7 linked regions of the Oryzias latipes genome follow. The protein of the gene in region 2 interacts with the protein of the main gene of each other region in a pairwise test. Links are inferred from orthologs where the notes say so. Each region holds a gene or a part of one and is shown on either strand. Other genes may lie near its edges.

Evidence for each region.
Region 1: the proteins of kinesin-like protein KIFC3 (region 2) and coiled-coil alpha-helical rod protein 1 interact in binary tests that used the Homo sapiens proteins (3 or more experiments, as listed by UniProt). The link is inferred for Oryzias latipes from reciprocal best matches to the Homo sapiens genes KIFC3 and CCHCR1.
Region 3: the proteins of kinesin-like protein KIFC3 (region 2) and fam161a interact in binary tests that used the Homo sapiens proteins (3 or more experiments, as listed by UniProt). The link is inferred for Oryzias latipes from reciprocal best matches to the Homo sapiens genes KIFC3 and FAM161A.
Region 4: the proteins of kinesin-like protein KIFC3 (region 2) and hsbp1 interact in binary tests that used the Homo sapiens proteins (3 or more experiments, as listed by UniProt). The two-hybrid records come from large-scale screens. The link is inferred for Oryzias latipes from reciprocal best matches to the Homo sapiens genes KIFC3 and HSBP1.
Region 5: the proteins of kinesin-like protein KIFC3 (region 2) and KAT8 regulatory NSL complex subunit 1 interact in binary tests that used the Homo sapiens proteins (3 or more experiments, as listed by UniProt). The two-hybrid records come from large-scale screens. The link is inferred for Oryzias latipes from reciprocal best matches to the Homo sapiens genes KIFC3 and KANSL1.
Region 6: the proteins of kinesin-like protein KIFC3 (region 2) and prkaa2 interact in binary tests that used the Homo sapiens proteins (3 or more experiments, as listed by UniProt). The two-hybrid records come from large-scale screens. The link is inferred for Oryzias latipes from reciprocal best matches to the Homo sapiens genes KIFC3 and PRKAA2.
Region 7: the proteins of kinesin-like protein KIFC3 (region 2) and atf2 interact in binary tests that used the Homo sapiens proteins (3 or more experiments, as listed by UniProt). The two-hybrid records come from large-scale screens. The link is inferred for Oryzias latipes from reciprocal best matches to the Homo sapiens genes KIFC3 and ATF2.

The regions. Positions count from the first base shown.
Region 1 is NC_019872.2:16,058,753-16,062,523, reverse strand, and holds part of coiled-coil alpha-helical rod protein 1, read right to left. Parts: intron 3,064-3,771; coding exon 2,917-3,063; intron 2,834-2,916; coding exon 2,723-2,833; intron 2,635-2,722; coding exon 2,528-2,634; intron 2,451-2,527; coding exon 2,338-2,450; intron 2,249-2,337; coding exon 2,176-2,248; intron 1,606-2,175; coding exon 1,487-1,605; intron 1,418-1,486; coding exon 1,229-1,417; intron 1-1,228. UniProt on the Homo sapiens protein: May be a regulator of keratinocyte proliferation or differentiation.
Region 2 is NC_019874.2:16,693,298-16,696,809, reverse strand, and holds part of kinesin-like protein KIFC3, read right to left. Parts: intron 3,264-3,512; coding exon 3,198-3,263; intron 3,010-3,197; coding exon 2,872-3,009; intron 2,803-2,871; coding exon 2,605-2,802; intron 2,431-2,604; coding exon 2,257-2,430; intron 1,915-2,256; coding exon 1,767-1,914; intron 1,576-1,766; coding exon 1,445-1,575; intron 1,358-1,444; coding exon 1,246-1,357; intron 1,172-1,245; coding exon 990-1,171; intron 924-989; coding exon 819-923; intron 143-818; coding exon 12-142; intron 1-11. UniProt on the Homo sapiens protein: Minus-end microtubule-dependent motor protein. Involved in apically targeted transport. Required for zonula adherens maintenance.
Region 3 is NC_019859.2:4,112,799-4,117,332, forward strand, and holds the start of fam161a (protein FAM161A), read left to right. Parts: upstream 1-1,327; 5' UTR 1,328-1,498; coding exon 1,499-1,654; intron 1,655-2,047; exon of another isoform or gene 2,048-2,390; coding exon 2,391-2,659; intron 2,660-4,534. Other genes in the region: cct4 (T-complex protein 1 subunit delta), read left to right, coding at 1-145, 218-331, 409-423. UniProt on the Homo sapiens protein: Involved in ciliogenesis.
Region 4 is NC_019864.2:28,978,891-28,983,688, forward strand, and holds hsbp1 (heat shock factor-binding protein 1), read right to left. Parts: upstream 3,095-4,798; 5' UTR 2,978-3,094; coding exon 2,933-2,977; intron 2,258-2,932; coding exon 2,191-2,257; intron 2,055-2,190; coding exon 1,930-2,054; 3' UTR 1,928-1,929; intron 1,845-1,927; 3' UTR 976-1,844; coding exon of another isoform or gene 873-975; 3' UTR 419-872; downstream 1-418. Other genes in the region: DNA topoisomerase I, mitochondrial, read left to right, coding at 85-234, 873-975. UniProt on the Homo sapiens protein: Negative regulator of the heat shock response. Negatively affects HSF1 DNA-binding activity. May have a role in the suppression of the activation of the stress response during the aging process.
Region 5 is NC_019877.2:19,812,484-19,816,590, forward strand, and holds part of KAT8 regulatory NSL complex subunit 1, read right to left. Parts: intron 1,275-4,107; 5' UTR 1,207-1,274; coding exon 1-1,206. UniProt on the Homo sapiens protein: Non-catalytic component of the NSL histone acetyltransferase complex, a multiprotein complex that mediates histone H4 acetylation at 'Lys-5'- and 'Lys-8' (H4K5ac and H4K8ac) at transcription start sites and promotes transcription initiation.
Region 6 is NC_019862.2:3,542,303-3,546,465, reverse strand, and holds the end of prkaa2 (5'-AMP-activated protein kinase catalytic subunit alpha-2), read right to left. Parts: intron 3,806-4,163; coding exon 3,555-3,805; 3' UTR 1,023-3,554; downstream 1-1,022. Other genes in the region: FYN-binding protein 1, read left to right, coding at 259-352. UniProt on the Homo sapiens protein: Catalytic subunit of AMP-activated protein kinase (AMPK), an energy sensor protein kinase that plays a key role in regulating cellular energy metabolism.
Region 7 is NC_019879.2:22,381,659-22,386,487, forward strand, and holds the start of atf2 (cyclic AMP-dependent transcription factor ATF-2), read right to left. Parts: upstream 2,906-4,829; 5' UTR 2,830-2,905; intron 2,205-2,829; 5' UTR 2,177-2,204; coding exon 2,129-2,176; intron 1,282-2,128; coding exon 1,185-1,281; intron 1,085-1,184; coding exon 966-1,084; intron 863-965; coding exon 737-862; intron 413-736; coding exon 234-412; intron 1-233. Other genes in the region: atp5mc3 (ATP synthase F(0) complex subunit C3, mitochondrial), read right to left, coding at 3,800-3,914, 4,005-4,195, 4,334-4,408. UniProt on the Homo sapiens protein: Transcriptional activator which regulates the transcription of various genes, including those involved in anti-apoptosis, cell growth, and DNA damage response.

The sequences.
Region 1 (3,771 bases), on a different chromosome or scaffold from region 2:
AACAAATGCACCTCAGGGGATGAACTCAACTTCAGTGCATCAATGGATCAATTCTCCTTTCCAGGGCAACATAATGAAACAGCACAAAGGAACGAGTAAAAGACACTTCTGATCACTTTTTTTTTTTTAAAGGAAAAAAAGTTGTGTTTTTGCAGCCTCTTTTCCCCGTTGAGGTTTTTTCTGTCTGTTTACCAAAGTGTTGGGTGTAATTCTTTCTTCCTCTCTCCTTTGCTGCCTGGCAGGTTCTCAGGCTGTACACCTGCCTGCAATCATTCATCTCATCAACTCAGCAGTGTGTCATGCCAAAATCATAATCCACTCATCAATTGTTTGTTGCTCCAACTAATGTGGATGCCTGCATGCCGACCTGCCAGTCAGACATCCTCTTCAGCCCTCTGCCTTCAACCAACACAATCCTAAATGATTCAGAGAATCAGCACTTCAGCTTTCCTTCCCTCTATATCTGGGTTTTAGTCTCCACAGTTGGATGGTTTTGTGGTATTTTTCTTCACTTTTTTTCCTTTTTAGGTACTATTTTTTGTAAAAAAAAAAAAATAATAATAATAATAATAAAAATAAATAAAAATTCCTCTAAAGGAAAGTAAACACTTATGGTAAACGGTAAATGTGATGCCTGCATCATCACTTAATATGGAAATCAAAAAGAACTGAAGCTAAGGAATCCAGTAGTGTTACGTTTTTACAAGGTTTGACACAAAATAATAAAAAATTGGATAAATTATTAATTAAAAAGCAAAATAAAAACATTATATGAAGACATATCCTAAACATTTTACACAAAATTTTGTTCTGATTTCCAGATATTTAAAAAAGTGTTATTCTTCCAACTACCAGAGAAAAAAAATAAGCCCCATCCTTTTCCACTTAGTAACATTGAAAAGCCTTAAATGTCCTCTTAGATACCAGATGAGTAAATTTAGTAGTAGAGAGGTTGGGAAATATTGGGGTTTAAAATACCCTCTATAATGGACAACTTTACATTTCTGGTAGTCAGGAGGACATGAACAATAAGAATGTGAACAATGTTCTTTATATCTTTTTTTCTCAAAGCTGATCAGTTTTTAACAAAAGTTTCAGTTTGACATGGTTGACTCCACTTGATCAGCTGGAGACATAGTGTCCGGGTCCCCGTAAGGCTGCTGAAGCATCAAAACAAGAACCTTTCCAGAAAAGGCCAGTTCCGTTCAAAGTCAAGTCGCTGCCTCACCCTGCTGGTTTCGCTCTTGCTGGTGGAGCAGCTCACAGGGAAGTGTCTCCAAGCTGATGCTGGTCTCATCCAGCTGTGCCTGGATCTGCTGCAGCCTCTGTTCCGCCTTCTCTTTACCGGCTAGAGCCTGTTTCACCTCCATGCAGCTCAGCTCCAGCTCCTGCTCCAGCTGCCTGACTTTACTCCCATCTGCAGACAGAAGAAGTCTAATCCCAATCATGGATTCCAGAAAAGTCATAAATCAAAACATGATCTCACATTGTTCCTTCAGATCAGCGAGAGCTTTCTCAATGAGCTCTGGGGTTCTTTTGAGCTCTAGACTCAGCCTGTCTCGCTCCTCGCAAATCAGACCGTATTCCGTCTGCAAGTTTGTCAAGCTGCAAGACAAAAAATACTATAAGAAGACGAACTGTAAGAAAATGCAAAGTTAAAAATATCAATAAAACAGACAATCAAGTCCATATAAACTTGTTATTAATACAGTTTTTACCCTTCTCAAAGAATTCTTAAATTTTCATAATTCAAATAATTCAAATCTTTGACAGGGTTGAAGGGAAATGTTGCTTTTGATGCAAAATGATGTCACGTCTTAAATTATGCAGTGATATTTAGAAGATCTATTTTGTTCAAAATCTCGGATCACTGTTTCCATAGAACAAAACAAAAATACTCGTGAACCTAATTTTGAGTAGAAAATCTAGACAAATAGAAAATATGATTGCATATACTCTTTACACTTTAAATGAAACATAAAAAAATAAACAAAAAAATAAAAGTGCTTGATGTCATTGTGCCCAAAACTACAAGTGTCCCAGTTCAACAAATATTTATTTGAACTGGGTTTATTTAGTTAAATAAGATCTGATGGGAAAAACTCATGTGAACCATTTTTAATTATCCAATCAGGTCTGTTTGTGCACGACAATCATCTGATTGTGAACCTATACCTGTTCTTTTCTTGCTTTGGTGGTTGACACGCCTGCTCAATTTTCTGCAGAGCCGCTCGCCTCATGACCAAACCTGCAGAACCAAAACAGTATTCACTGAAATGTTGTATGCACGTCTATGAGGAAGAATTTCTGTCAACAAGCTAACCCCAGAAGCCTTACACTGGATGGTCTCCACTCTTCTAGAAGCAAAAGAGAGCCTCTGGGTAAAAGTGTTTAGCTTTGTTTTAGCAGAGTCTACTTCTGCGGTCTTGCGGTCAAATTCCTTCTGGAACCTGTTGAGAAAAAACTGCAATAAATACCATTGAGGAAATACAGAAATGAAAATCAATTTGTATCAAATAAAAGTTACCTCTGCACAGCTTCTATCAGGATCTTGATTTCAGCCTCTGCTCTCTGGTTCTGTGACTTCAGCTCAGCATTTTCTCTCTCAACTTTTGTTAAATCTTCCCTCAGTGTCTAGTTTGATAACAACATATTTTTAGAAAAGCGACATGCAGACACATCTTTATAGTGTCTTTATGAGCTCAGACGTTCTGATGCTAACCTCCTTTTCTACCTTCTCCAGGTCCAGCTCTGCCATCCTGTCTTGCAGACTGTGTTGGAGCAGACGGTTCTGGTGCTGCTCCTGCTGGAGCTGCTGCTCCGTGGATCTCACCTGAGACAGAACAAGTGTTTTTTGGTTAAAAATAACACTGATGAAATGTACAGAGTTTGAAGAACAAATGACTTTTTTCATACATCAAAAAGAACTTTGTCTTTTTCTCTTCTCGTCTCAATGTCTTTAGAGCGAAGCTGGACGCACAACTTGAACACTTTCTCTCTCCACAGCTGAAGCACTTGAAGGATGTCAGGCTCCTTCCATTGGAGAGGATCTGCAGAGGTTTGCTATAAAACACACATACTTTCTTCAGATAAGGTTTAAATTTAAAAACACATTTCCAAAGCATCCTAAATGTTCATCTCCAAATCTCCAAAATAGACCAAAACTCTCAACATTACAACCAGTAATATTTAGCTGTTAATATACACACAGTATTCAAAATATTTTGAGGAGAACTCCCCCCTCCCCTGCAAAAAATTCGGTTTTATATACATTTTCACTAAAATAACTAATAAATATTTATTAATATGAAAGTGTGAGTGTTATTAATGATTGTTTAACAATTTTATATATTCACAGGTACCTAAAGCATCTGAACAAAAGAGAAATCTGTTACTGTTGGTAACATTTTGTTTATGATTTTAACTTTATTTGCTTATTTTCAACTTCAGGTGTAAGTCATAAAATCTGTTTGTTTTTTTCAGGATAGGGCTGATTAAGATATTGTTTGATAAATAGAGATAAAATATTTTATACCAGCCCAATTAAAGTACATGGATAAGGACCCAGAAGTTTAGTGGGACCAAAAAAATATTGTGTAAAAAAAAAAAATACTTTATCTATATGATCTTGTAGTTTTTTGGATCATTTTTTGGATCTTGTTTCTTCAACATGATTTAGCTAAAATGTGACCACAGTGAAAGGCATGACCAACTAAGCACTGATCTTTTCCTTTAAGCAAATTAGGGATGAGACGTGAGTAAAACCAAGAG
Region 2 (3,512 bases):
AGCTAAAGTACCTCAACACCTCGTTGTAGATCTCCACAGAGCTGACGGAGACATTGTAAGACCACATGTCCTTCCTCTCCTCGATCTCATGAAAGAGATGTTTCAGAGCTCGCTGGTTAATTCCAGGGTTTTCCACGGTGCCCTGAAATGCAGTGCTTCAATACGTAAAAAAGATGTATACACGAACATTTCAAATACAGATAAAAAAAATCATAACAACTCCATTTGTCAATCATTACATTAAATGCATTTAGTGTTTCATGTCTGTGTACTGTGTTTAGAAGTGCAAATATGTCTATTTATGATTAGGAGTAGTTATGTCAAGAAGACAGTCTCAGCTTTATTAAATATCTTTATTTCCCAATCAATTAATTATGTCATATTTTAACAAGGTTGGATACATCAATGTTTTTGGTTCTTTTATTACTTGGTTATTATTACTTGAAATAATCCAACAAACCAACCACTAAATAAAATGCACTGTTAAGCATGGCAACTCCAAAAGGTAATATTCATTTTTACAACAACAACAAAAAAGAAAAATTCTATGTGCAAAATGGAATCTATTTAGATTTTATTGTGATAAAATGGGATTAAATGATTATGCTTGCCTCACTCAAACCTAAAAAAAATACAATAACCTTTTCATTGGAAGTTCTTTTCTCCGTAATATTCATTTGTCCATGATATTGAAACTCCAAATTTTAAAATGCTAAAAGATTATTGAATACATATTTTTAAATTAATCTAGAGACAAATAAATAGTCCTGTTCTTAATACTTCATGGGATTTTTTAATCACTTTGTGAGCCAGCGTACCTCCATAGTGTGGGTTTTTCCAGAACCAGTTTGTCCATATGCAAATATGCAGACATGGTATCCATCAATGCTTGACGTCACAAGAGGCTCAATCTCCTGAAAGATCTAATTTAAAAAAAAAAAAAATTATAAAAATAGCAGTCTGGAAAAAGTATCCTCCTCTTCTCTTACCTCTTCCTGAGTGGCCTGTGGTTGGAAGACCTTGTCTAGCTCAAAGACACGACCCTTTCCTTTTGTTAACACAGTCAGAGAGGATTCATTGTTGGGGTCTATGGCAACGACCACAGACTGGCCCTCCTCATGCTGATCCTCCTTCAGCACAGGCTTCACGCGACACAAAACGCGAATGTTGCCTGAAACAGCAACATGTCTTAGTCAGTGACAGAGCATCCTCACTGAAGCCATCTCCATCATTCTGTGTGTGCACCTTTGAGCTCCACCAGCTGCTCGTGGTACTTCCTGCGCAGTGCAACCTCTTTTCTGTACTTCTCCAGAAGATCTTTGTTGGCTTCAGACATTTGGTTAATGGCAGCTGCAATCTGAAAATGGAAAAAGACGTCTTAGAACTTTGCTCATCATGTTCGTTTAATAAGCTCAACCTTCAAGGTTTGCGTGAAGTTACACACCTGCTTTTTCGCTTCATTGATGGCGCTTCCATAAAACTCTGAGAAGTTTCGAACTTGGCTCCTCAGACTGGCGTAATCCGTCTTCATGGAGCGTAAAGTTGGAGGGAGTGCTGTGAGACGCTTCTGTAAAGCTGGAAAAAAAGGAACTGACACCTTAACCCTAATTCTCCTTTCCGAATGTCTTTGTTGGAAATTTAGCTGTTGTCCTTCAAAACATGAGATGTTTTTGTGAAGCACCAGATGACAATCTCATCCAAAAACAAGAGCATTTTGCTTTCTGAAATTCATCTGAAAACGTCAGGCGGTGATTTAGCGTACTCACTGAAGAATTGATCCTGCAGGTTCTGAAAGTGGTCTGCTGAGCAGCTGGCAGCAGCTCTCACTGCTTCCTCCTTCCTCTCCTCCAAATGTCCAATTTCTTTCAACAGTTCCTCCCTCAGTTTGGTGATTTCTCTCTCATATGCTGCGATCTGTGAAGGTTTAAGCACAGCAGCTTATCACTCCCACTGTCTCAGTGTGCAGCTTCAGTTCAGCAATCACTTCTTTCAATAAAATTGATCAAGGTTGCACATTGGTTGCTCGCAAAACATTTGGTCTCCTTTTCTTTTGTGATTTTTTCTCTTAAGAAGAAATGAAGCTATACTCAGTGCTAAAATCCAGATTTCTAAAGTCTGAGTGGTCAGCAGTAAAATGTACATGAGTTAATAAGCTTTTTTTCTGCACAATTTGAACTAAAACACAAGAAATCGAACACGCAAGTTAATAAAAAAGGTGTTTCTAGATGCAGAGAAGTTCTTTTCGTTTTGTTCTACCTTGTGCTGCAGATTGCAGCTGTACTCATCAGACTTTCGGATTTGCTCTTCCAGCTGCCTGCAGTGCTCGTTCTGATTGGACAGCCTTTCAGCCAATACCTCGTTCCTCTGTCTGGCTTTATTCAGCTGCTTCACTGTTGCTGCTGATTCCACCTCCACAGTCTGAGTCACATACTGGCAGAAGGGGATAGAAATCCAAATACAGAGGCTTTATCTCCCAAGGATAAAAACGGAGGTTGTTATTCCACTGCAAATACAGCAAGGGATGGCAAACTTCACTGCTGCTGACTGATGTTTCTCAAATGCCTCTTTTCAAACCACCTTCAAATATCCTGTAGCATGGTTTACCTTTACAACAGGCTCCTTTCCCTTCTCTCTGTCCAGCTCCAGCTGCAGCTCCCTCATTCTGTCCTCTCGTTTCCTCAGCTCCTCCGCTCTTCTCCACTCACTCTGCTCACTCCTTCTCTCCAGTTGTGAAACTTGCTCGGCACGTTGCTGCAGGGAGCTCTCTAGCTGCTGCACTCTGCTGCGGAGATTCTCATTTTCCTGCCACACAAAGTTAGCCGCTGGTATGAGTAAATCTGTGTTCATCAACACGTGTTCGATGCCGCTTACCTTGATGAGCATGTTGCTGGACTGGGAAGGGATGGTGGAGAGCTGCTGCAGGAGGCCCTGTGTCACGCTCAGGCTCTGCTTCAAGCTCTCGTTCTCTGCTGACAGACACAGCACTCGCTTCTCTGAGTCTGTGGCGCCCTGACAAGAAACATACGACTCAGCTCCAGAGCATCAATTGGAGGTAAATCAAGAATAGCCACCTCGTGTAAATTCCTCAGCCGTCTGTTATCCACACCAGTACTTTTGGATTAGTTGGAGTGACAGCTTTGCTGAGGACACAGACAAACCCTGAACTAGTGATACAATGAAGGCCTTGAAGGACTCACTGTTGCTGTTCTCAGTCGTGACAGCTCCTCTTCACGCTCCTCAATGCAGCTCTTCAGCTCATCAATCTGAGAAGAATTTAGATAACCCCTTTTTTTCATATATCGTTATCAGTATTTACTGTTCTGTACTTATTACATTACATATAATAGAACTTGGAATCATCCAACTCTTTCTGAAAATTCTAATCAAGAAGAATCTGGCGAAATAACAGCAAAATAAACATTTGAACATTGGCATTCATGGATTGAAACATAAATATTTAAGTCTTGCTGTCTGATTGTTGTGCGTTCCTGTGTGTCAGTAATGACCGACTG
Region 3 (4,534 bases), on a different chromosome or scaffold from region 2:
CTGCGTGCGCGCGTATGGTGATGCTCTGGAGGTCATACCCTCCACACTGGCGGAGAACGCGGGCCTGAACCCCATCTCCACGGTGACGGAACTCCGCAACAAACACGCACAGGGAGACAAGATGGCCGGCATCAACGTCCGCAAGGTCGGCGTGCTTTCCTTTTGCTCCGTCTGTGCGCGGTTGACAGCTTGACAGATTTATTTATTTTTTGGACAGGGGGGGATTTCAAACATCTTGGAGGAGCTGGTGGTGCAGCCCGTGCTGGTTTCCATCAGCGCGTTGACTCTGGCCACAGAAACGGTCCGTAGCATCCTCAAGATCGATGACGTGGTAAGACTCAGAACTGGATTCCCTTTTTCATTTTACAGAAGTATGATTGGAAATTAATTTTTGTGTTCTGGTTCCAGGTGAACACTCGATAGGTCTGTCCGGTTTCTGAAGCCCGTTTGTTCTGCGAGGGATCAGAGCATCACGTCGACAGCAGTCTGCTCCGATTTCTGCTGTAGTTATTGCATTGCCTAATTTAATAAAAGGCTGTGGGGTTTTTTTTGTTGACACTGCTGCCTCTTTTTGTCTTTCTTTCTTTGTCTTTGTCTTTATGTTGCACTAAAGTGTAGTACACAGATTTAGAAACATGTTCTGGTCTTCATTTTTTTTAAATTGTATGTCTTGAAAACCGCTAATTTGAAAAAAGTATGTGAAATATTAACGCAGAGTTAACACGTATTTACCAAATAATTTCTGCAGCATGAAAAGATGCATAAAATCTGGTTTCTAGTACTTATCAGACTAATGGTAACATTATAAAACATGACCTAAATGTAAAATGTTGATTTGCTGTTATAAAATAAGGTTTTCTCTTGATTAAAGAGTAATGACAGATCTTTATTTGTCATTGTCACGCATACAATAGAATTTAAAGTGATTCCTGGTCAGTCTAACACTCATACCTTAAAAAAAATTAGACTCCAGGCGCCGGTGCCTCTGACCTCATGCTCATCCAAGACGTGGACGGTGCTGCTTTTCTATAGAATTGGTTAAAAATGTAAAATCTTTAGATAGAATTTTTGTGTGTCTTCAAAAATTGGGTGATGATCATGGCCTGGTTCAAAAAAAAAGTCCTGCTTCTATGCAAAATAAATTCAATGCATAAGTAATTTTATTATTTGAATTAAGATACTTTTTTTTATTTAAGTAGCCGTTTTCATTCAATTAATCAAATAAGAAAAAAATATATACATTTTAATGGTCAGAACCTGTGTTTACTCGATTCATTTTAAGCGTTCAGTTTAAAAATGTACACGTTTCCAACGCTTTTATTTTGTATCAGAGCTTTGTTCTTTGCTTCCGTTTTACGTCACTTCCTTCCTAACGATGCTTCTCCGTTGCTAAGAAGCCAGCCAACCTGACAACGACTGTTCCCTCCGGGGAACGAACTAAGTAACAGAACCTCATCAAGGCGCTTTTTTAAAAAAAAAAAACTGTTTCAACAAAAAGATGGCGAATCCTCACCGGACGAACGTTTTATTAACTTCCTGTCTGAAGGCGCCGGTGGACCCGCACACCAAGGCGCCGCTTGCGTCATACGAGCGCGGGGCAGTCCTAACGCACGCGACTGCAGGCCAGCTGGACAACCGGGACTATGAGAAAGAGGTAAACACATGTTTAAAAATATTTCACAATAAAAGTCACACTTTCAAAATAATAATCTTTCTAAAAATAGTTAAGACAACTCTGTATTTATTGAGATATATAGAAACTTTGTATACACTTTAGATTGGAGGTTGTTATACTATATTTTATTTATTTATTTATTTATTACAATGTGAAGGTGGGTGAAGCTGTTGTTTTCCTGTAGTCTGAGTGCAGCTCCCTCTGACCTGAGACAGGTTATGTCCAGTTAACAGGATGTTGACAGTTTCAGGTCAGCCAGGTGGAAGGGATTTGATCTGTCATTTGTTGTCCCGTCTATTTTTGGATTTCTGTCTTCACTAGATTACCAGAAGTCTTGTTGGGTCGGTAATCTCTTTTATATCCTTTTAACAGCAATGACCTTCTGTGGAAAAAACACCTCGTAGCAAGTTGGTCTAATTTTCAGAAACGCTTCTGACAAACATCCTTTTTAATGGAGGCCGGACACTTTAGGAGGAGTAGATGTCAGCGGAGCTCCTTCATGCTGAGCTCACCTTTGTGTTCCAACCATATGGCTCTGATCATTGTGACTGCAGGATAATGAGCTTAGTCCTGAAGACCTTACTGCCCCTCAACAGGGCAGCAGTGTTCTTTAGGGCATAGAAGTGAAAACAAACTTTTAATAAATTCATGTAGGAAGCCTTCAAATACCTGTTAATTAACATGATGATCCTTGAGTGACCTTTGGGCATTTCAGCTGGAGTTTTGGGACTCGGGCTCGGATTTCTGTGATGAGGACTGTCTGGGGATGGGAGGAGCTCACGTGGGGGGCAGCTTCAGGGCAGCCGTCGACCGCCTGGACCTGAGTGAAATCTTCTTCTCCAATGAGGAATACTACAGCAAGCTGGAGGAGCTGAAGAGGGCCCACGAACGCACCATGGCAGAGCTGGAAAGCATGTACCAGCAGAAGCTGCAGCTCAGGTCCGGTGAAGCTTTTGATATGAAGGCCCTGGATATCGGTCACAGGTCAGTTGGGCCGGATTAAAGGAATTTCTTTGACAGTTTAACACTAATTTTGCAAACCGAGACTATTGTTGTTGTTTTTTTATTTTATATATTAACCATATTTTCACTGAGATTAAGGGACTTTGATTATGAGATATTCATTCCTGCAGAAATAAAATAAAATAATTAGCTCAGCTGCCTACAATTGAACATGTTTTAGGGTTGCTTTTAAGAATAAAAAACAAATTACCTGGAAAGCTTAAAGATTTCCTCTTTAAATTTTTTATTGTTCGCATGTCCATTTCTTTTTTAGATTATACTGTCATGCATGGAAGAAAGCTTCGGCCTATCTTATGCATGTTTTGCAGGATTCAACCATTGACTGTAAATGAGAACTGAACTGAGTGACCCCTCCCTCCTGGCGTCCCAAACAGGCCAAAATCGCATAGACTTCTATAGAGAAATAAACAGAAGTTCTTCAGTCATTCTATTTTTCAGAATAACTATTCTTGCTCTGAAACCTTTTTTTTTAAAGACCCACTTCTATGAAAACTGTGATTTTCATAGAAAATCACAGTTTTGTGGTGTTTTTAACATGTTCTTATGGCATTTTTCTGAAGATGGAGGACAACTTTGAAGAGAATTAAGGTTATAATTGCATTTCTGAGTATTTCTTTATTCAAATTGCTGTGAATCAGGAGCAGATGAGACAAAAAACAGTTTGAAAAAGAGGATATTTGTGATGTAGAAAATACGCTGGGTGGGCCAAAAGCTCCCTGCTCCATTCTGAGCTGGAATCTGGATCTAGACTGTACGGTTGAAGAGCTTCACCATCATCCACAGTAATGTTAGGTTGGGGGTGTAAGGGCCTGAAAGGTAGCGAGAGAGAGTGTAAACAGAGAACTCTCTGCTGTGGGTGACAGACGTCATCTTTAGCTTAACCCCTAACCCAAAACTCAGAGGTGAATTTCTAATGAACTCCTGCCACTCTGCAGAAACTTTTAGCCAAAAAAAAATTATTTTGGCTAAAAACAGCATAATCATAATTGAAAGACCACTGGGAATGCTCTAAAAATCAAAAGATTATCATAATTCTCAATAATCTTAGTTCTTTCATGATATTTTTTCTGTTGTAAAGGTTATTCAAGCTATAAGCTGACCCATCAGATGCCTCAATAAAATTCAGCGGCCAAAGTTTTGTAAACTTGATTGACAGGTGGTAGAAATGTGGACTTCCAACAGTACCGATTGGTGAGAGTTGTCGCCATAGAAATGCAGGGGTCCAATTTGGACATATCACTGCTGACTCCAACACGGTGGTGTCTGTATCGCAAAAAACAGACGACTGAATTGATTACATTTTGTTGGAGCCATAAGTAAACCATTTTCCATGGGTGACGTCACATTCACTCAGTCCAGTTCTCATATACAGTCAATGGTTTTAAGTAATTGGCTTTGGGCGGGGTTTAGTCTGTGCTCGAGGTGGGTCCAAGTCTTACTTGAGCGGGATTCAAACGGTAGTTATTTGGAGAGTCGTCTAAGAGTTCATAATTCTTTTGAGGCAGAAAAAAACCATATTGTCTTCTGTGGAAAAGGAACTCGATTATAAGAAATACCTAACTTTTAGGGTCTTCTAAATCTTTCTACACGTATTTAACGGCGCTTTTACTTCCTTGCCATATTGACCCAACTCCACTTGAATTTTTTCTTTTTTTTTAAACTAGAAGGAGCTGCATCTCCAGAAGAAAATGCAGGATTGAATGCTAAATTGCTGGAAAAAAAAGAAACTTAAAGGCTAATATTAACACAAAAGAAATGATCAAAGTTGACCATAAATAAAGTGAAAACTGCAGAGTCACAGAAAAGATGTTTTTGTAAAAATGCCAGCGCCGAGTG
Region 4 (4,798 bases), on a different chromosome or scaffold from region 2:
TGATCCCCATCCAGTCTGAAACTACACGATTGGATCACAGCCTTGGCTGTTGGACTGAACCCCCGTTTGTTTGCGTCTCGTTAGTTTAGTGGAGCGAAAGAAGGCGGCGGTGAAGCGCTGTGAGGAGCATCTGCTGAAGATGGAGGTCCAGGCGACTGACCGAGAGGAGAACAAGCAGATTGCTCTGGGAACCTCAAAGCTCAACTATCTGGACCCTCGGATATCTGTGGCTTGGTAAACGCCATCTTCACCCCGACGGCAGAGTTCCACCGCTGCTGCGGTTCTTCTCTTGAGACCTCCAGCTCGGTCTGATGGTCGTCAGCGATCCTCAGAAACGTCTGAGTGGGCAGAACAGCCCCGTCACTCAAACCCTTATTTTACTGCGAATCCAGCTCGTACACACACCCAAAAACAGAAATGTTTTAATAGATTTTTATTGTAAAGAACACATTTTGTTAAGTTTCTGGTTTAGGCTGCAGTGTTGAAATGTCCAGATTCCATCCGTTAACTTTGATTCTGGGCTCTTAGGATCTGTGGTCACTTGATCTCATTCAGACAACAGATCCTCCAGTTTACTGATCTGACGTTTCACCATGTGACCGACCTGATTTCTATAGAGATCAGCCAATTGTTCCAAGACTTCAGAATTCATAGAAATGCTGCTTGTACCAAAGGAAAGTGGGGTTTGGTGCTAAACCAGAGATGAGAAATGCTTCTTCTGCAACGATTTGGTGAAGTTTGGCTTGAAAAACGTTCAGGACGATAAACTCAAGGTTTCTCTTCACCCCATTGTATGTTTAAGACTTTTCTTCTGCAGTTGTAATACTCAGTTGTTTGTGGTTGAACGCTTTTCTGTTCTTGTTTTTAATCAGGTGTAAGAACATGGAGGTGCCTATAGAAAAAATCTACAACAAAACCCAACGGGAAAAGTTCGCCTGGGCCATCGACATGACGGAGGACGACTTCGAGTTCTGAAACTGAACTTCCACAGACGTATAAACTCACACCAAGTGGCAGCTCAGGGACCTTTTGCTTTATCCCATGTAGAGTAAATGAATATTGTATTGAGGGGATGTTTATGAAGTGCTGAGGTTCTACTACTGCAGTTCAATAATCAAGCTGCACTTTAATGGATGTTTACTGCTACTTTTGGTTTGAAGACGGTCTGTTACATTTTGTTTGCATACACTTGAATAAAGGTTCCTACCATGCGGTAAAATAAGGGATGTTTTAATCATTCAATTTGGCAAAATCTTAGTTATACACTCGTTAAGTGGCACATTTCCAATTCTGCTCATTTCACGTCAGAATCCAACAAATTCATGAACAACAAAGAGCATTGAACCTGCAGATCGGATGAATTCAGTAGTTATGAAAGGTCTGTGGCATCAGACGACTCTGCCTCATAAGAGAAAATGTAGAAACTCTTAGCACCGTGGTCTATTTATCAGCACCTGGTCAAAAAGGAGAAACTGCTCCGTACATCGCTTTAATAGAAAATCAGAAATGGAATGCATTCTGCATCTCGTTGCCAACAGTGCTGCGCTGCGAGCTCCGGGTGTTCGCGGTTCATCGTGTTGGGATGAGGTTCTGCTGGCCCGTTACCAAGCACGGACCGGAGAGAAGAACCGACGCTGGCGGCTCGAACGTCCAGGTCAGGGCACCAAATACACAATTCTGAAGGGCAGGTCACACTAATTCAGATTACTACTACTCCACTTCTCACATCATGACATAACTGTAAACCGTTAAACCATTTTATATATATATATATTTAAAAAAAGCATTTCACACCAAATCAGAAGTCATCGGTAAAGAACTTTGACTTCACATCATTTCTGACCCTGTGGGACAGACAGAAAATAAAGCTGATTAGGAAATCTACCAGAACAAAGAAATTCTACAGGGGTAGACCGTTTTTCTTCACCTTCATGATGATCCTTGGCTCTCCTTCGGCTTCTCTGGTGTCGCCTCGGCCTCCTCCACACCAGCCTGGGTCATCAGGTCAGCAATGTTTTTCTCCAGGTCATCGATTCGTGTGCTCATCTCATCAAGTGGACACTGTTAAGGCAAATCTTTTTTTTTTCTAAGCAAACTGGAGTCCTGTAGAAAAAGACACCGGGACATTTGATGTAGAGTATGAGAAATGTAAAGACGACCATCAGAGCTCTGGCTTTCAAAAAAGGATATTCCTCCCGATGATCTGGTCTGACATTGTCTGGAACTTGTCTTGCATTTGCTGCAGGAGCGTCTGGACCTTTAGAAAAACAAAAGAAGGCCACAAACTTTAATCTGTCAAACCCAACAAGAAACAGTACAAGATCAAGCTGTGAGCGGCCCAAAAGCGCTTCCCGCCCTCTCAGTCCCCTCCTCACATACCCCACTCTGGACATAGCTGCATGTGAGAGAAAAACCACTAAAAAGGAGCTAAGACCTTCATCTTCCAGTCAACACACTAATCAACACCTAATGTTTCAGAAGAATCGAATACAGTCTGTGATTTAGTAGGTAGAGGTGCAACTTAGACCTTTAGTTTTGGTTCATTTCCATGGCAACACTATTGGTATCCACACCAACAGAAGTAACCTGGGTGTTGCGAGAACTGCTGATTATTATTATTACAATAAAAATGTAAATTCATATACTTGTTATTGAAAATGCTGATTAAAGAAGATTTATGTAAATTAAATTAGTCAGGATGAAGTGCTAATCAGCTAACAATGTCTTTTATATGGTGATAAACTAATAAATATTTAGTGAGATCGATCAGAATTTAGGTGTCAAGTGGTAAAACAAAGGGGGAAAAGGCAAAAAGGAATCAAACTTAATACTCCTTTAGATGCAACCTGCATTTGATTTGTTAGCAGTATAGTTAGCATTGCTAGCTACATCCATATAGCTAGTCCTAGCTAGCTTGACGGTCCAAACTCACCACGTTAGTAAGGTCCTGCACTGATTTGGGATCTGTTTCAGCCATGGTGTGAATAAAACTGTATGTCCGGACCTTCACGGCGGTTAAATTTAAGGCGCTTTATATTCGATTATTTAGCCTCAAGGTTCTGCTCGCCTGTACCACCCACGGGAGAGTCAGCTGTGCCACAACACGGCAAGTCTCGCGAGATTTGCTCATGGGCTGAGATCGGTGAATTTGCAGAACCCTTCGATACAAATAATGCTGTGGATTGACGACAAACATTAGGTTGTATGTATATTTATAAAATAATAACACATTTGAAAAATCAGTTGACGTTCTTATGTTTAGATGAAAAGAAAAACATGAAGCTGTAAGATTGAAGCGGAAATTCTAGACCTGTGTGTGTTTATGCGCAGCCGTGTGTGTGTGGGGATGCGCGCACACGTCTCTCCTCCTCCTCAGCGAGTTGGGATTTGAAAGTTGGAGCTGCGGGATAACTCGGCGGGTTTTCACGCCGAATTCACTGCGGGAGACGGCAAAGTTCTGTTGGACTGAAGGCGATCGGTGAGTAAAGCAGAAAACTGACGGTGCTGTTGTGCATCAGAAATGCGGCTGTTTGCGTAAAGTTCAGATTTACGCACGCGTGCAATAGGCTGAAACTTCACGGTTGCTTTAAACTCAGGCTTACCACGTGGTTTTTATGCATCATTCTTGAAGTTTTATTTTTTTTAACGAGACTGCAGCTGTATTGAGTTTGTCCCAAAGGAGCAGCAGCTCCGGCATGGATGTGTGTGGAAGTCCTGAGTGACATGAAGAAGCAGGCACTGCTGGCCCTACCCCGTGAAAATATGCTCCGCTTACATAACATTGAGTTTCCTCTTTTAAGAAGCTTCGGTACATTTCAGCTTCCATTGTTAGTGTTTACTTTCAACACATAAACAAAAGGAAATAGCAGAAGCCTCACAGTACTGAATAAATTGTGCAAAGGTTCCCTTAGAACGGGTTTTAACTTCCTCCAGGCTTGTGCCTAGTCTAACTGATTATAACCTGTAACTTTTTTTATCAGAAGCAAACAATTACTGAGCTTTATATGTAACTTAGACGTGACTTTTGCTCTTCAAACTCCTGCCATAATGCTGAGGTTTGGTGTTTAATGTCTTGCTGCTGTTCTTGTCTTTTCAAAATTAAGCGCTGCTTAAGTTACAGCAGTGGTGACGTCTTAGCTGAGTTTGGCACGATTTTCTGAATGAAATCTTTGTCAAGTTATACTTTAAAAAAATGTTCCCACCTCCTTTGTAACCTCCCTGTATTTTCTTGGCATGCGCACCTCATGCTTTTGTAGGCACAACACAAGGGAGAAAGTCCCTGGGTACGCTGTATGGAGCTAAAGCTTTAAGGGTGTTTTGAAAGCAGGCAGGTCATCTGTGTAACTCAACTATCGGTGTCCACAGCAGCTGCAGTGAAACTGTTAGTAAGACGAGATGCTGTCTGCAGTTTAAACTTATCTGCAGACTGGCAGACCCCTCCCTTAGAGAGCCACATTTCTGCTGTGTAGGAATGTCAGTGTTGAATATTTCTTTTTTCCGTCATGTGTGTGTGAGTTCCAAACCTGATTCAATGTGGAGATGATCTTGTAACGCACATTGGATTTGTAGAAATTAAAGCTGATTTCTTCATGAACGCAGAAGTGATTAAAACTCACATGAAAATGGACACCTTTGCACTAATTTTCTCTACTGCAGCTAATTTAAATTAATTAATTACAATTACATTTAAATTTAAAGTCCCGCTCTAATCACTGTTTGATTTATTTATCAAAGCGTACCCAGTGGTTTTTCATTTATGATTATGCCGTTTTTAGCCAGAATCCCCCAAAAACCTGTG
Region 5 (4,107 bases), on a different chromosome or scaffold from region 2:
GAGGCAATCTCTGCTGTTGGAGGAAGAATGCCGCCCGGTCCTCCATGAAGTTGAAGGAGTGACAGCCTCTGTTTTACGATTACCAACCAGTAGTCTGTTGAGGGCCGAGTCCAAAAAGCCGCCCAGCTGCTGCTGAATGTGCCGCTCCACCTGCTTAGCCTGTACCACCTGCAGACGTTTGCGCAGGCGCCGTAACCTGTTTTCAATCTCTGCTTGGCGGCTGCTGTTGAGAAGTGTACGTTGTTTAACTTGAGCATCAAGGCCGTCTGTGCATGAACCACCGGGCAGAGGAGGCTGCGGCGCTGTGGTGCAAGGCGAAAAGCCCTGATGGCTGCTACCCGGTCTCTCTCTGTCAGAACCCTGAAGCTGTCTGAAAGGTGCATGTGAACCAGATTCCTCCAAATTTAACTGTTCAGAGGAGTTTGAGTTGTCGTAGGTAAGAGGGGAAAGTGCAGCAGAATGAAGCACTGGTGATTCAAAATTTTCTCCATCTGTGTTTTGAGAAACCTCTGTGGAATGCTTCTGTTTGAGGGTTCCTTTCACAGGAGTATGCCCTGATATGGTTTCCGACTCCAGCGGCATGTTCTGGGACTGGGAGTCCGTGGCAGCAGCAGCGGGCTTATCACCATTCACTGCAACCACACAGCTAGAGCCTGACACAGTGGCAAGTTTCTTGGCCAGACCATTGACAGGTGCCATGGGCTGGCCACTTCCGTTGGTGCTGCCACTCATGAGGCTTTTTAACTGTCCACCAGAGAGCTCGATTGCCTGCCTCTTCCTCAAGATGAAGTCTCCCCCACCGTTGAGCAGGGAGGTGGGCAGTATTCTGTGGTTTTTCAACACGGACTGTTTAAGAATGACTCCTTGCAGCTTGATTGACTCCTTAGTTGCAGAGACGGGTGGCACATCAGAGCATAAATAGGAAGCCACCAGTGGCTGGAGTTTTCCCAGGGCAGAGGCCTGAGACACAGAGTCTGCTTGAGGCTGCTGCTGCTGTTCCTGATCACCACCACAAAAGTCGAGGGGGCACTCTTCAGAAGTGACCTTGCACTTAGCGGGGCCGCTGCTGTGGATGAGGATGTTGCTGGCGTTACTGTTGTTCTCTCCACTGGCTCGCGAGAGGCTTGAGGATGGGGCAGCCAGTTTGAAGCGGATGTGGTGAGCTTCAGCTGGGGCGTCGGTGAGAGCGGGCGCCATCGCAGCCATGCAGTGCAGAGGGACGGGCACCGCGGCCTGCTCCACTCCACCCGCTTACTGCCCCACCTGAGGACAGCCTGGGAAAAGACGTGGAGGAAAACAGAGTGACAGAAAAAAAGAGTCAATCAAAAAAGTTGAAATATTTCTGTAGTAACATAAAATTCCAAGTTCTTACCCATTATAATACAATTAGAGTAAAAATACTGATATTTATGTGCCAAAGGTAAATAAAAGATACCAAAACTGTCAACCACACTAAACTATAAGGCCATTAAGTGAGACTAAAGAGTCAGAGTTAAGACCCGTACACACCGGGACGAATATTCGCCAGGCGTTATTCGCCAGCGTTTTTCGCCACGTTTTTTGTGTTCACACCCAGGCGATTTTCGCTGACGATGAGTGGAGTGAACATGCAATTTCATTCCCTGACATTAGATGGCGCTTAATGTAAAACAGAAATACTCCTGTACACAAGGTGGCGCTGCGCAACTTTACGCTTCTTAAAGTCGCTTTTCACTCAGAAGAAGAGAGCAAGTATTTACACGCTTGTCAGAATCAAACAAAGAAAACATGAATATTTCAAGCACCAGTAGCTCCAACTGGTACTTGGTTCGGGGATGTTTTAGAATGTCCGTCATTATTGCTTCGCGGCTGTGTAGACGCTACTTGGCGTCTATCTTCTTCGCTGGTATGTGTGCTCAGCAAGGCAGTTTTGTGTTTGAGCGCCCCCAAGTTGTGTTTTACTGTAATTTCAGAAGCTCCAGACACATGAGCAAAAGCGCCGTTCTCATTGGTCGAGTAGATTTCGACGCGACGAAAAAAAAAAACGAACCCGAGGCGTTTTTTTTTTTGACGCTTTAACGCCTGGCGTTTTTTCGCGTCGGTGTGCACACTCTCATTGGGGCCCTTTGTTTAGTCACGAGGCGTTAAACGTCGGCGAAAATCGCCGGCGAAATTCGTCCCGGTGTGAACAGGCCTTTAAGTTCAGTAAGTCAGACTTGCATTCACAGTAACTGTAGCACTTGTTTATAGCATGCTAAATGTTAGCCATGGTAGAAGCGTTAGCATATTCATGATACCTGTAACTCTCAACCTTGTTTGCAACATAAAAAAGACTAATAAAGCTAAAACAAATGTTACTGTGACTACACTAAATCCCAACCTTTTTAACTGAAACATGATTAAAAAAAAATAGTAAGGCAAAGCTACACAATAGCCATGTTAGCGTATTCACAATAACACAACCAGAATGTATCTATATGTAAAGCGCTTCAGATTGTAAAGTACATTGTTGTTTTTTTTAAACGAAGGCCTTTAAGTTCGCCTTACAGTGTGGAAAATACTTTATTGAAATGTGCTGACTATTTTAACAAATTAGAACAAAAACATTTTTTAAAAGCTAAATCAAAATAATCAAATATGCTTTACAATACATTTTTTACAAATACATTTTGTCACAAAACAATACAAATAAAGAGTGATCATATACAACATAAGACCATAAAAGTGGCATAACAGGTTCTGTGACACACTAAGACTTAGTGGAAAATCACTACAACTGATACGAGTAGAAGAAATGTCAATATTCAATGTCATGATACACAATTTAAACTGCAGTCGATTCATGATCACAAAAGTTTTGGGAGAAAATGCAATTGAAATTTTGAATGTAAATGAAAGTCACTGCAATGTTTTCTGCATTCTGGCTGACAAAAATACATTTAAACAACTCAAGATGAAAAAATATGTCTTTTGTTTACTACATTATTTTTCCCAAATGTCTGAGTGAAGAAGTCAACTTTCCAACAAAGCCATGGAAATGATCTGCTCTGACCTTGTGGAAGAGAATGCTTCAGATAGTTTGAATAACAGCACAAAGCGAGCTGAATTTCAGGTGAATAAATAATTCCCATTACACCCAAACAACTATTTAAAGAAAAAAAAACAAGCATTTATTTTCATTTTTTTGACAGAGCCCCTCCTAAAAGAGAAAGCATCTAAGGGAAAAAGGGATTGGCAGCACATATCTGATGAGAACAACAGAAGCCAATGCAAACAGTCCAAACCCTACTGCCCTACATGTGCTTTGTCAAGTCAGTATGCAGCACAGCACATGATGTCATTTTAACAGGTTTCCAGTATCATTTACAGAGCGGCTTAAACATGAAATACTGTCAAATAAAAATAAAAAAACTCAAAAATGATTTTCAAAGGAAAACAGACTGCATTTACGTAGTTTTGGTGATTAACATGCGTTTGACTAGAATGAAAGCCTGTGAGAAACTTTGAAAAAGCCTCCCTTCAAACAGATAAGAGATGCGCCTCCGCGCATCTTCTGCAGGATCGGATGAATGTGAGCTCCGTTTTTCACCGCAGTTTCTAGTCAGCGCGCACTACGCCATGTTGGTATTTCCGAAGCAGATTATGCAATGCAATCCATCTGCCTAAAACCACCCATTCCGCTCGCAACACAAAACGAATTCACGCAACAGGAGCGAATCATAGAATCGACGACTGCACAGGCGGGACCACACGAGCCATGGCTGCTCGGTTTTTTCTTTCTTTCTGTAAACCGGAGGCGAGATGCGACAAAAACCTCCACATCCAACGTTAGCCAGCCAGAACGCAATCATCAAAATGTCTTCCTGCTATTTACTGGAGCATCCGAACACATAAAAGGCACAAACAGACGCGGGGGTTATGTCGTCTGAAGTATAAACAAGATTTCATCACACTAAATCCTCATAGGCTTCCTTCAGCGGAAAAACGCCGCTGATCGGGTTGTAGCATTGAAACGCGCTATTTTAGAACACTCCAATCAAGAAAACTATCAGATCGGAACATAAAAAAGACCCCATCAAAACCACATGACCTCATATGTTGCGGGCAAATTATTTGACCATGGTTACC
Region 6 (4,163 bases), on a different chromosome or scaffold from region 2:
TTTTCTTTTTGGTTTGGGGCCGTTTGCTCATCATAACAAGAATGAATGCATTCTGTGCGCTTGTGAAAAAGTTAGACGGAGTAAAATACCAACACTGACCCAACAGGAAGTTAGGCTGGCTCATGTTTCTCGTAGGACAATGAGTCATTTTTTTCCATAATGAGCTGTGGGTTTGATGAACTGTGTCATCGCTGCATCACCACGCTGGTATCGGAGGAGAATGTGAGTCATTTTCATGCTGTCGTTGATCGTTTCCAGGCCTGAGCACGGTGCAGCCCAGGAGTTCGATGCCACTGCCATCATTTTACCTCCTCCCGAAGTTTTCGCCGACCTCCCTGAAAACCGTCCCTGAAAGTGGGAGGCACCTGGACTCACTTGTTTGCTGCAGCCCGTCGTCCGTGTGGACTAAGGATGCTGGAAATCTCTCTGCACATGTGAAAATGACCCTCTGACTTTGAACTTTGGATCAGAGGAATTTCAAAACACCATCACGTCCAACGAGCGGGTGAACATTCAGGCTCGTCTTTATACAACCATGTAAACCGGAGAAGCAGAACTTTACAGGATCTGCTCAACAATAAAAAGACTAAACTTCTGTTCCAAACACTGTCCCACTGTCAAGGGTTAGAATCCTGAAGACCCGTCCTTGAGCTCCTGCCTGAAAACGGACAGAGTATCTTGTCAAGCCTGATCACAGTCAGCTTTATTTCTGCGCGTTCATTCTCTTCTTCCTTTCTTCGTCCTCCGTGAAACATTCAGCGTTATGCTATTTAAGTACACACTCCTTTTAATGCGTCAGGTTCATGTCATTATTTGTAACTGCATGGAAATAAGCTACACAGACTGTTATTTTGCACATCTGGATGTCTTCATACCAGGACCACCCTTTTAGGAATCCTTTTTCTGTCCCGGATTCCTTTGCTTTGCCAGGTTTCTCCATCATAGCCTGGTGAGGGCATCTGGGGTGTGTTCGCCTTCACCAGTGTGCGTTTGTGTTGACAAAAGCCTGAGAAGCAAAAGTGTTGTTTTTGTATCTTTGTCTTTATTGTCAATAAATACTCATTAAAGTGCAAATCATAACAGCAGGATCATGCAGCGCACGGCAAAACCAATCCAGAGTTCACGTCTGTGCACGTCCCCCAGGAGCCGCCGTGTACAGGGGGCAGACAGGGAGGGGTTAAAGGTCACGGCTATTCAGTTCCCCACTCACTTTGGTGTCGGATGTGGTTCTGCTCCAGACCAGCTTCCAGAACCAGCGTGCCGCTTGTGGCTGCGTAGCTGCTGTGTCTGACAGTAATCATGAAGCAGGCGTGCTTCCATGTTGGCAGAGGGATGGCTGCTCCGTGCACACACAGGCAGGTGTGCACGGACGTTGCATGTGTGCATGAGCAGAAAGGCAGCAGAGTCAGAGACGGAAACCCAGGAAGGTCGCAGCTTCAGCGGAGGCCTGACCGGCTGTGAAAAAGCCCTCGCTCCACTTGTGTTCAGCAGCAGAGAACAGGACAGCAGTGCTGCAACAAACCCTGCATGTTCACCCCATCAAAAGCAGGCCCCAGGACTTATTGCCTCTCACTTGCTCAGGGCTCCACTTTCATTTGCCAGAATAACCCAAAGAGAATGTTGAGATGCTGCAGCCGGAATCAGCAGCGCGACCTTTGAGGCCGGACTGACTCAAACAGAGAGGCTCTGAGCCGCTACACACTAAGTCTGAGATTAGAAGAAACATTTTGCAAAACTAAAGTGACACTGTCATTTGTATAAATGATCACAACAAAGCCCTTCAGTCAGCCACACAACCTAAACTAACAGGCACTGCAGCACATCCTCTGCCTCTGAGATGAGCGTTTGAGCGGAAACGGGACATCAGCGTGAACACAGACAACAGATGGAGTGTGATGCAGTGAAGAGCCAATCTGACCTGGAGACAGGTTTCGAAGTGCAGCCCGAGCGGAGGCGGAGCAGTCCTCTGACCCCGCTCTGCTTCATGGCCGACCCCTGCAGCCTCTCTTTAAGCTCCACGCGTCTACACTTCAACTTCAGCTCACCAAACATCAGTGAAGAAATCCAGGAAACACACGCACACACAATCAGGTCACACATTTCCACCTGCACAAATCAATGAGTTGCACTTTCTCAGGCAGCTGGAAAAAGGGGGTTGTGGCTTATCTCCTCCTGCAGGACATACACACCATTTCACCCAACCGTTGTCCTTCTGTGTCCACTATCTACACACTGGATAAGGGAGACAATAGGGTTCAGTGTGTTTCTGAACTATTTTTCATAATCTAAAGGCTACAGGTGCTGCGGGTTTTTGGGCTGTCCGGGCCCATGGAGGGTCGTAGAGAGGAGGGGCTGCATCTTAAGGGGAGCGCAGGTGTGTCTTGCAGTTCCCTTCAGGCTCGCGACGCCACCTTCAGGGATGTCATGAAAATGGAACGTACCATTGCCACGGGTGTGATAAGTCTATTGAACAGTAGTCGTAGTGATGATGTAAGTTCCACGTACTCATGACATGCGGGTGATGCTGTTGTACGATGACCTTACGCTACACTCTACTGTTTGTTGAGGTGTGATACGCTTAGATGTAGAAGTAATGTCACTTTGTCCTGGGGTAAAAAATCTGTGAGACACGCCTGCGTCTCACCTACCTCCCCTTCACCTTACCCTTACGTTTCGTATAATGGTTTCCTTGCAGAATGCTCGTAGAATAAATGTGCTTGAACATTTTTGCTCTTCGGGGTCACTGGGCGGGGTATGACCTTGATATTTCCTCCGTGCCCTGTACAGATTTACCCATTTTCCACCTGCAGAGAGCCCACATCCCCCCGTAGGAGCGGTGGCTAAAGGCTTTACTGTGCTAATCGAGCAGCACTTACAAACAGATGACGTGCTGCGTGTTAGTTAGTAACTGCTGCTGTTGTGTGAACAATCACGCCTGTGTCCCGACACCAGGGACTCACTGCAGCTCCTGAACAAACGAAAGGAAAAAACGTCGACAAGCTCTGCTGCTCCAGCTAACGCAGTCACGGCGATAATGCACCTTGTTTTGTTGTTTTTATCTACATTCTACCTTTAAATCAGATTGACCTTTGGTTTAATGAAATGTTTAAAGGACAAACTTTGTAATTTTTTTCAAAAATAAATAACCATTTGATACCTAAATAATTGCATTATTTGCGTGATGAATAAATGATGCTTGTGTGTCAACACTTTTAAAGCTTTCTAATAAGAAACATAACCAAAGCTTCTTTAGTAAAACCCCCGATGGAGTGGTGTTGCCGTGGACACCGCTGCAGGTTTTACCATCAGATGTTGTTTTTGACACGACACTGACCTGTTCCTTCACGCTTCTCTGCTTCAGTGACATCATGAGCAGAGTGGGATCTCAGGCTCTGTTTTCTCAGACCGAACAATAGTATTGACACAAAAAAATGACCGTTTGTCTCCCTCTTTCCTTTCTGCACGCTATACAAACACTACATTTAGTTCTCCACCTCCCAGATCGGCAGATACTTTCAACCCAACATTCTGCTGACAGCAAAGGTCAACACACCTCAGCGCGCAAGCGTGGTGATCAGACTGGCACACATTTCAAAGAAGTCCATGGTGTGCGATCCCTGCCGCGGGGAGAGGAGGGGGGAAATGCCGGACAGCGATCCCGGGAGGGAGGAGCTAAGCTGAGGCACATCGTTGGCTGGGCTTGCAAAGTCAATGCTCAGCCTGGGTCTGTGGAGACCTGCAGTGGAGCCGGACCTCTGAGGAGTGGACGACCCCGATTTAAAGCCCACTGCTTCCAGGATGTCATCTGAAGGTCACAACATAGAGGAGCATTTTATTAGGGACTTCCAAGCCTTCTGTAGTAATAATCCAAGCATTTTTAAATCAAACTATGAATCTGGCCTGTAAGTGACTAAATACAAACATCGCAGGAACTCTTTCCAACTTTTCAAAGCCACTTTTGCAAAGACCTTTAAAAGAAATCAGCTGCTCAGGATGTAATGAATCTGTGTCCTCTTTGCATCTTATCCTGTTCAAGACTTTCGCCAGATCAACAGTGGACCAAAAAAGTATTCAGTCAGCCCCCAATTGTGAAAGGTCTCCCACGTAAATAGATGAGAGAGTAATTTTCATCATAGGTAAACCTCAACTATGAGAGACAAAAT
Region 7 (4,829 bases), on a different chromosome or scaffold from region 2:
AACAGTACATAATGTGAGTAGCTTTTTAAAGATGTCGCTAAAATTGGAAGAATTCACAGTTGATTTGGCGTTTACAACAAAATGAAAGACTTACACCAGAGTGCAGATTGATTAAAAAAATAAACATAAAATACAAGCACATGCCTCACAAAATGCACAAAACTACACAAAAATGATTAAAAAAAACTAAAAACTAAGATTTGTTTTAAAAATGGACGCATTCCGTTACTTACACTATGGGTCTATTAGTGGATGGAACCTGGGTAATAACAGAGCTAGATGTTGGCGATGGGAGAGCTGGCTGTATTACAACATTAGCGTCCGTGGTTGCTAGAAGTACATTGGGAACTTGGAGGGATGCAGGATGGACTATAGTGGATGTTGGCAGTGAGGCAGGCTGCAAAGTTAAGTCCTGAAAACATCATACAAGACCTTAGCTGCAGAAATGTTTAGTGAACACCAGCTTAGTTAGTTACAAGAACTTTTTGCAAATATTTTTTTGGTTGGTTTTAGGATTTCCAAATCAAAATTAAGAGCAGTGTTTGAATAAAAAAAAAAAAGAGAGTGGGGTTTGAAAATAAAAAACAAATAAATCGAAGAATTCAAGCAGGTGAAAGAAGAAGTACAATTTCTATAGTAAATGAATGATTACAGAAACAGGAGGATTCTTAATTATTCATGTTTAATAGCACTCCTAAAACCCATTAGAGAGCTAACTAAACAGAAAAAAATCTACCTTGTCATCGTTTGTGGTGGACTCAGGATGAGGAAGGGGGCTGTTCCGATGTGCATCTACAGCTGCGGGTTCCTCAGTTTTGTTGCGTATGACTGGTGTAGCAAGAGGTGACAAATCCAGAGGTAGCTTTGGGAAGGTTAAAAGAAAAAGAAAAAAAGCAGATATAAACTCTGGACTTCAGAGATCATCCTAAGAGAAGATTTGACAGAAGTTACAGAACAAACTCAACCTTCTTCAAGTCATCTTCAGCTGCTTTTTTGAAGTCATGGTCAAAAGGACTGGCAAGTTCGTTGAAAAGCCCGACTTCCTCGCAGTTTTTCAAAAAGCGAGTGGGTGTCGGCGTTTGATCTGTAATAGAGAAAAGAAAAGATAAAAGAAGAAAAAAATCACACTTAAGGAGGCAAAAACACACAAACATCTATAGACATAAAACTTAAGAAGGACTCACCAGCAATTATGATATTGTCGGTCCTCGCTGGGCCAAACTTTAGTGTCATCTCGTGTTTGTGTCTGTGGACAGCCAAGTGGTCTTCATTTGTAAATCTCTGAGCAAGGTAAAAAGGAAATAAATGAATAAAAAAACAACTTTATTCTGCATATCCTTTGAGAGACAACAATGACTCACAATGTTAAATATGTTAAAATACTAACAATTTCAAAAAGTAAACGGTGCATTGCTAAAATCCAAAGAAATCAAACCCTAAATAAACATAAACATAGGCTTAATGTGTGTTTTTATGTTTATTGTGACTGTGCGCGTACATTTACCACAATAATTACATATTTTTACCCTTTAGCCAACTTTACTTTGGCACTAGAAATTAAACAGTTGATGTGACTTCAAAAAAGAGATGCTTTTTATTATTTGACCCTTTTGTGAATCCTCAAATTGGATGCAGACTCAGGCTTTTATTAACTCCAGTGATTCTGTTTTTAAGTGGATTTATCTGTACCACAAATAATCACAAATCCTTCAAACAGTAACTTCAGCTTTTAAAATGTCTGATAAGAATGCACAAACTACGTTTTTTAGTTGAATTATTCGATATTATCAGCAAAGATAGCAAATGTATGTAAAATGTACACATTGAGTACCCAAATATTTGGTTACCATATTTGATGCATATATATATATATATATATATATATATATATATATATTAAAGTTAGTCTCTGGAGAAATACAACTACCGTATCTCAAAACATGTAATATTATAATACCTTCAACGTTTTTAAATAATCTAGAATGTAAAGATGTAAGCTCAACAACTCCACCATATAAATTTACAACACATTGGAATTGGTTTTTTTCCTTCTATTTTTCAAAAAATAAAAATAACTGAATCACTAACTAAAAAGAAATAAAAACTATGAAGAACTATGTCAGCTTACCTGTCCACATCCTGGAGCAGTACACTGGAAGGGTTTGTCATCACTCATATTAAGAAATTCTTGCTATATTTTTGTCCTACAATAAATGAATAAAAACAACATATTTCATCTCAATTAACTTAATTTCCATTTAAAACAGAAATAAATTCAACAGCCACAGAAAAGACAACCACGTAATCGTGGCTGATCAAAAGGAGGGTTAGAGGGTTAATTTTTAGATAATAGTAGAAATGACTCGAGACTCGAGTGGGACTGTTAAGGGCAAATCTAGTGAAAGGACAAATAAGATTTTGGACAAAGCCAGTGAGGAGGTGGGGTTGCTCTGTCTGTGCTTATTTATTAGCTCGGTGATGCAGTGCAGGGTCGTTCGGTGTGTGGTCGTTCGGATTGTGTATTTTTCAACACGAACAAAGAAATTATGCATGTTTTTTGTTGGAAAAAAAAGTTTCACGTTTAATTCCGACTAAAGTCATCACACAACAAAAGCTACATTATGATCCGATCCTCCGCTCCAGCCTGAGCTGAGATAACGCACAGCCGTCGCCATGTTAGAACCAACAAATCACTAAACAGATAACCTTTTGGTATTTAATTTGAGGGGGATTAATTTCACTTGGAAGAAAATAACACCGATTTCAGATAAAGGGTGCCCTTTTTTGCATTTGTAATAAAACTCGCTTTCAATTTGAGTTGTTACTTACCCCTTTAGCCACAAACGTTGTTTTCCCAAACCCCAAAGTATCGCGAGAAAACAATTTCTTCTTCCGTAAACGTCACACTAACCCAAACGCCGTAAACATACTAATGGACACTAATAAACCCATTTACCCATAAATTTACCCATTTACCCATAAATTCAATATTTTATAAATAATTGCCATCATTTCTACTGCATTACAACTTTATTTACAGTCTACGGAACCACCTCAAGTTAACATTCCTTTTTTACTCAAAGGCCAAATTTCTTTAAAACAATTCAATTTAGAGAAACATTATCGTGTACTCTATATTAAATTAAATCACAAGGAACTATTTTTGATTGAAGCAGTAAACAAACCACATGGGTAATTTATATTACAAAAAAAAAAAAACATTTGGTCAACTTTGTTGCCAAATATTACTAATTTACTGACTTCCAAATGACAATTACTTTTTAACTGAGAATTTTGTTCTGATGGACCGTTTTAGTGGCAACTCATTCATTTGACAAACCTCGAAACCCTGTTGGGGTCGGGAAATAAATTCAAAAACCCAAATTATAATTCAATCTAGATTTATTCAACGTGATTTACAAAAGCAAGTAATCACTTGTTGCCTCTTACAGTTCTACTTAACTGCAACTGAGTTAAGTGCTTATGACGGTGGACCCCATATAACTCTCAGAAAGCAAGTTGATTCACAAGGGGAGAAGATGTTCTGACATTTGTGAGAGCAAACTGCTTTCAGTTACCATGATATTCCAGACATAGACGTTGCTGCCACTGATAAATACTCAAATGCATGTATTAAATTCACGCACATTGTTATGTTTGTACATGTTTTGTTTAATTTTGACTGTGTCGGAAAGACTTGAAAAATTTACATTTCCATGACACCAACACTGAACAATTTTAGAAGCCACAATAAAATATGTAGTCACATCTGTAATGAAAGTGTTGGGAGGGCAGTGCTTTACATTGCAAACAGGATCAGAAAAGCAACCATCAAACAGAATAGTCCCATAGCTTCAGACAGGGCGAAACCCAGGATGGCATATGAGAACAGCTGCTGCTTCAAAGATGGGTTCCTGCAAACAAAAAGAAGTCAATAAATGTAAAGAAAACATTTGAATTGTACCCCAAAAAAACATGTACACAGTGACCAAATGGCAACAAACCTGGCATAGCCAATAATGAGACTACCGAACACTGTTCCAATTCCAGCACCAGATCCAGCGACTCCGACTGTAGCGGCTCCAGCACCAATGAACTTGGCGGCGGTGTCAATGTCCCTGCTGATGGCACTGGTCTGGAAGCCTCTCAGTGTGACCTGTGTGAGGGGGCTTTGTGGCATCACAGCAACAGAGCTCTGCAGCGAAAGACAAAAAATGAAAACATTCACTTCAAAGAAACACCACAGACAGGCATGGGAAATACAGTTACTGTTAAAAAAACACCACAAGTAGTCAATAATACAAAAGTGTTTATAAACTTTGTTTATCCTTACCTCTGTTTTGCCATCAGGCCTGGAGAGCACAGAGGCAGACATGGGTCTGTAAAGAGCCCGGGAACCAGCACGGACCTGCGGATCAACAAAAAAGAAAAGGATCAGTTTAGTTAGGTTGGAAGTTTTGTGTTTTAGGTCCATATATGCAAAAAGCCTTTCAATGACACTTGGTAAATGTTTATACAGTTGAATATACACAGTTTTGTGTTATGCAAGCATGGACGTCACCACAATTGCTGGTGTCAAGCTTACAATTAGTTTTGTTTCTGTCACACTTTAATGGACACAAGGACAAACCTGACAAAAATCCCTGTTTCCTTCACAAAAAAACATGCCTTTTTATTCAAAAGCAAGTCATATGACCTTAGAGGCATAACATACAACACATAAGTAAAATAAAATAAAAATCCCAAACATCTAACTTGACCATGTATGCATTTGTCTTCAGGGTCTTCCATTGAGTTTACCCAGTCTTTAAGCTAAACTTAACTTAGCT